Kluyveromyces lactis: one gene and its partner. The protein of the gene in region 1 purifies or fractionates together with the protein of each later gene. This does not show direct contact. Links are inferred from orthologs where the notes say so. Each region holds a gene or a part of one and is shown on either strand. Other genes may lie near its edges.

Region 1 (2,794 bases):
GAGCCAAAGTGGGTCGTTGCTATGAATAAATGGCAGACCCTTACTGATTTGGAGCTAAACGAAAGAACTTTCGCTGATCTTTGTCAATATACCGATGAATTCTTGGTTCATGCAGCAGATGTAGAGGGTCTATGTAATGGGATTGATGAAGAGCTAGTGGCTCATTTGTACAAATGGACTGCGGATATTCCAAAAGTGAAAATCGTATACGCAGGCGGCGCTAAGAGTGTGGATGATTTAAGGCTAGTAGAGAAATTGAGTCATGGCAAAATTGATTTGACCTTTGGTAGTGCTCTTGATATTTTTGGTGGATCCCTTGTAAAGTTCGAGGACTGTGTCCAATGGAACCATGAGAAACACGCTTAGCTTCCAGTCTTTGTCTAATAGTTACACTTTCGATGGAAATAAACATTCTATATAGAGATAGAGATATTGAAACATTTTTGACCGTTCAACTTTTGAACGGACGTGGTAGATTGGATGGTAGCAGATGCTGCTAGTGCCTTTGAGTATGCTAGTATTAAGGAATATATGCCTTGTGTTTCGTCAATGAATTATAGAAAAATCGTTGCCTTTCACGATAATTGTGGTAGCTTTTTCTTGTTGTCTTGTCTCACCATGCATCATCGTATCCTGAGCCTCCTACTGGCCCTCCATAAGGATCCATATCTTCTTCCATCGGCACTTGTTGTGATACGTGCGTAGATACAGCTCCTGCTGCGAAATTAACTTTCTCTTGGTCCATCTTCTTTAATGAGAATAATATGTCGGCTACTTTATCCTGTAAAGTTTTGATACCACGTACGACGACTTGTTCCGAAGTGATGGAACCAACAGACTCGACGTTTATGTAAAATGTATTAGGTTTGGCCCTGTAGTCGAAATCCTCGTCTTCGTTAGGAGGATCTTCAAATTCACAATTCTTAGATTGAGGCCATTCGTCCCTTGCATCCTGTTCGTACCAGTAATCTGTGTGTTTTAACTTATTCCATGGATCATATTCAAACTCTATAGCTGCTGATGGTGACCATTTCGCATGTTCTTTTGAAATACCCTTCTTAGCGATACATTTCACTCTTATCTCTTGTCCCTTTCTTAGTTTACAGATTAATACACCATTTGCTTCTCTGTCTTGTATAATTGGATGGCCAATATTTCTACCCTTCAAATCGCTGGTAATCTGCAAATCCTTAGCATAAACGTTCGTCGTGGATTCACTCTCACCGATAGCATGTAGTATTAGCTCTACTGAACAACGGTCACAGTGATCTTCACAGTAACAGTCACGACAGTATACAACTTGATCAATGTCTGCACTTTGTAATGGAATTAACCCAAGTCTATGCGCAATAAATTCATCTGCCAACACAGTAGTATTAGTTTCAATCTCAACAGAATCGATGGCTAGTGTAGGAATCTCAGATATCATGACTCTACGTAACGAGTTTGCTAAAGCCAAGTCGACATTAGAAAGTATAAAGTCAACGTTGTCCTTGGTTGCTTCTCTAATTTTTACTTGGGGACCTTCTTCGCTCATTTGTTCTTTCGCAGTATTAAACTCTGATTTCTCCCTAAGATATGACCTGCTCCTTGCTCAATCAAATACCAGAGTATTGACCAAACTACAGCAACGAAATGATTTGTTCTCGTTCCCTTGGTGCATTCGATTATTGTTTTATGAATTTTTCACTTTTGTTCAGTTGGAAAATTTTTGAGCTTTGGCAGCGTTTGGTCACGTGCATAGGACTATTCCATCAATACTGTTTCAAATAGGCTCAGCTAAGAATAATATTGCTCGGAGTCATGTATATATAGCCTTTATTACCTATAGTTAACTTCTTCGAACAATAGTGGCCCCATTTCTTTCTTATTAGCATTATTTCTTCTTTGTAGGACCTTCAAATCGGTTTTTGAACATATTAGAAAGCTGATCCCACGCAATAGGCGAAATATCAAGTACAATTACACATCACCGAATTTAAAATAAGGTGAGTTATCCACAGATAATCAGCCTTTTACCATGCCTAAAGGAATTGCCCGTGTGGATGAGAAAGTTTCAGTAAAGGCGTCATTGCCAGATTTGCGATTTGAACAGACCTTTAAGCAGTCCTTGAGGAAAGAAGCTTTGAAACAGAATAAATTAACTCTATCGGTGGCTGATGGATCTGTCGTAGATCCTCCCATTACACCATATATCGTTGCAAAAGTTGTTGCTAGAGATATTTTGATAAGTCCATTTTTGCAGGGTGTCTTTCTCTCGTTATTTTATATCGTTGCCAAGCCATGGTTACAATATTGCAGACAAGCAGGACGTAATATTGGCAGAAGTATAATTAGGAACTTATTTGGTAAGAATGCGATATACAGGCCACCAAGAAACATATAACTGAACTTCTTCTCCTAGGGATTATAGAAGGATTAGGATACTATTAACACGAATTCTCTTGTCGTCGTTCTGTTCCTTCTTCGTCAAACAGAAACGACGATAATCTATATAGTAAAATATAAACTAACTTAGTATGATGATGATTTAATGTACATTACGACCAAAACCAACACTTTATTTCTTTCATACGCTCTGATAGTTCGCAGTAATCCAAGAATAACATTACCAGGCATGCAATATAGAACAGGATTAGGTAGTGAAAGCTGTGTTCCGCCACCGTTTTTTCCAAATAACGAACTCATGAATCTATTCCAGAGCGATAGTAAGTGAAGGTTGGGAAGGTATTGGCTTTGTATCATTATTATTTGTTATTTTTGTACTGAGTAAAAATTTCGGAGTCATGGTCAT
Region 2 (2,791 bases), on another chromosome or scaffold:
GAATACAGAACGCGATAACATGTTTTCTATATGAGGATTATTGAAGTTCCACAGCAACAGGACCGGTTAGGTCTCGGATATTCTATATTTTCTTAATTTAGTATGCAAGCGGAAAGATAATTGCGCTTTCACATTTTTTTGAAGTTGATAAAATTTCAGACCTTAACATGATGGACTGTTATCGAACAGGAGTCTGAAGGTAATAATTGAAGGTGAGCACCGACTATTTTCATTTGAGCTTGCAATATATAAACAAATCGAACTACAATGAATTCAACACCATCTGTAGAGTATTTACCATAGATACGATTCTTAATTGTGATATTACAACTTTGGTCATTTATACATGAAATACTAGTTAGCCGGAAGAATGTATGATGTAGAATTGGCGGATGCTATGTGTACACATCTAGCTAGCAATGAAATAACGAAAGAGTTTTAGTGCTTGATCACTGCCATCATCATGCTGCTTTAGTGTATCATATGCCAAGGCTATCTTCGTAAAATTCAAAGTGAGAATTTCAACTACGAGAACTTCCATCTATTACCGCAATTCTCACATGTACAAAAAGTAGTAAGAGGTTCATCCGCAGATCTTGTTTGTAGTTGGTAGTATGATACTTTTCTTTGTTTACATTTGCCACATTGGAATCTATCTGTTACTGATCTTTCTACAGTTGCACCTTGTGCATTAAACAAATTCTGTTTCTCAATTTCCTCAATTTTCTTCTTTAAATGTTCCGGTGCCAAGTCCTTAGGATCAGCAGTCACTAAATGTTTGGCTGATACTTCTCCATTCGTAATTCTATGTTTCAAATCTGGATTGTTCTTGGAGATTATATTTGAGTAAATTATTCTGTATTTGTCACGATATCCCTTTTCGTCAGACTCGGGATTGAACAGATTAGCCATTTCTGTCTCAATACTCATTACTGTATCTAGGATAGCTACTGGAGGATGTTCACTTTCTTTTGCCAATGCATCATATAATGCCCTAATAGCCATATCTCTAATCTTGACACCATATATATCCGTTTTCACACCGTCGTTCTTAGCATTTCTTGGAGCTTTGCTGACATATTTCTCCTTCTTTACTGCTTCTCCACCGCTTGTACCATTATTGTTACTTGTAGATGAGGAATTGCTGCTTAGTTTGCTTTTCTTTTCACGAGCCACAGCATCTTTCCAGGATAAAATCATCTTCTTCACCAATTTGACGATGTCTGGATTGGAAGATTTCTTAAATTGGTTGACTACGACCCCTACTTTCGTCTCTCTAAGAAGCTTCTCATTAACATCTTTCAAATCTTTATCTAATGACTGTAGAATCTTGAACACAACATCATTATTATTTTTGTTCTTCTCTAATCCTTTGACGGCTTCTAAAACGTCCTTGGTTTCCATATCCGCAGAAGATATCTCAGTTTCTATCTATATTCCAGGATCAATTTCTTTCGAAGATGAAGAATGAATGTTAATAATACACAGCAAATATTGCTCTCAACAGATTCTAATGAGTTAGGACCTGCTGAAATCCACCATTTGGACAATGGACAGTGTTGATTGTTTGAAGTCATTAATTAGTTTTCAATTCTAATTTCATTTCATTCGAACATTGAAAAAAAAATTAGAATTGAAGTTGATGACGAAAGTTGAAGAATCGAACAATAAAGCCATATCTGAGTTTTATTACACTTATAAAGTACCGCTAAGAGCATCGAAGGACTTGTAAGACAGACTTCCACCAGACAGCTAGCTGTGAAAATAACCTGGTGCAACCAATTTCAATCATAGAAATAGTTAAAAAGCAATGAACAGGGGAAATCCATCGCGCACAGTTTATTTAGGTTCGATACCGTATGACCAAACAGAACAACAAATATTAGACCTATGTCAGACGATAGGACCAGTAACGGCAATGAAGATGATGTTTGACCCAACGACGGGTAAATCTAAGGGTTATGCTTTTATTGAATTCAAAGATTTGGCAACTTCGGCAAGTGCAGTTAGAAACTTGAACGGGTATACATTGGGTTCAAGATCGTTAAAGTGCGGATACACCACCGGTAGTGGCATAAACGGCAGCGGATCTGGCCCCGGAGATGAAGAGGAGAATGGAAACATGGTTGAGGATGTGAAGTTCCCATGGCTCCCGGTAGGGGTGGACGTTAACATCAATATGACTACACCAGCAATGTGTATCAGTAGTGAATTGGGGAAGCTACAAAAGGACCAACAGATGGCTCTACTAAAAGTAATCCAACATTTCTGTAAAGACGACAAGGAAACTTTCGTAGCACTCCTAGAAGAGGCACCTCAATTGAGCTATGCTATTGCGGAACTCCTGTTGAGTAACGGTGTGTGCAGTGTGGACCAATTGACACAATTGGCTATGGCGAGTAAACAAAGGCCAGAGGAACAGACTGATAACACAGTGGAAGACGGATTAGACGAAGAGAAAGTGGATCTTCTAAGGCAAGTTCTACAGCTACAGGATTCAGATATAGCAATGCTTCCGCAAGACGAAAAGATGGCAGTTTGGGAACTCAAACAGAGGGCAATGAAAGGTGAATTCGGTCATCTTTAATAGATCGTCTCATGGATGGAAAATCAAAAATAATGAACATGCGTCAACTATAAAGTTCATTAATGCTTATAGATGAAACGGTGTAGAATGTACAAATTGAATACGCACTTTCGGATGAAGTAAAGTTCAGTCTCTAAAATATACCTTCAATGAGCCAGAATGCGCTTGACGGTAAGACAGAAGTAGCAGTATAATTTTATGGAA

The links. Proteins that work in one complex are often made in the same cells at the same time.
Region 2: the proteins of RPB3 (region 1) and DST1 purify together in Saccharomyces cerevisiae (affinity purification with mass spectrometry, with the first as the bait; 4 studies listed by BioGRID). This does not show direct contact. The link is inferred for Kluyveromyces lactis from reciprocal best matches to the Saccharomyces cerevisiae genes RPB3 and DST1.

The regions. Positions count from the first base shown.
Region 1 is NC_006040.1:1,362,196-1,364,989, forward strand, and holds RPB3 (DNA-directed RNA polymerase II core subunit RPB3), read right to left. Parts: upstream 1,538-2,794; coding exon 614-1,537; downstream 1-613. Other genes in the region: 1-(5-phosphoribosyl)-5- ((5-phosphoribosylamino)methylideneamino)imidazole-4-carboxamide isomerase HIS6, read left to right, coding at 1-366; KLLA0_D16192g (uncharacterized protein), read left to right, coding at 2,021-2,386; protein translocase subunit TIM44, read right to left, coding at 2,794-2,794. UniProt on the Saccharomyces cerevisiae protein: DNA-dependent RNA polymerase catalyzes the transcription of DNA into RNA using the four ribonucleoside triphosphates as substrates. Component of RNA polymerase II which synthesizes mRNA precursors and many functional non-coding RNAs.
Region 2 is NC_006042.1:863,900-866,690, forward strand, and holds DST1 (transcription elongation factor DST1), read right to left. Parts: upstream 1,405-2,791; coding exon 526-1,404; downstream 1-525. Other genes in the region: DPC13 (Dpc13p), read right to left, coding at 1-21; RNA15 (Rna15p), read left to right, coding at 1,811-2,587. UniProt on the Saccharomyces cerevisiae protein: Necessary for efficient RNA polymerase II transcription elongation past template-encoded arresting sites.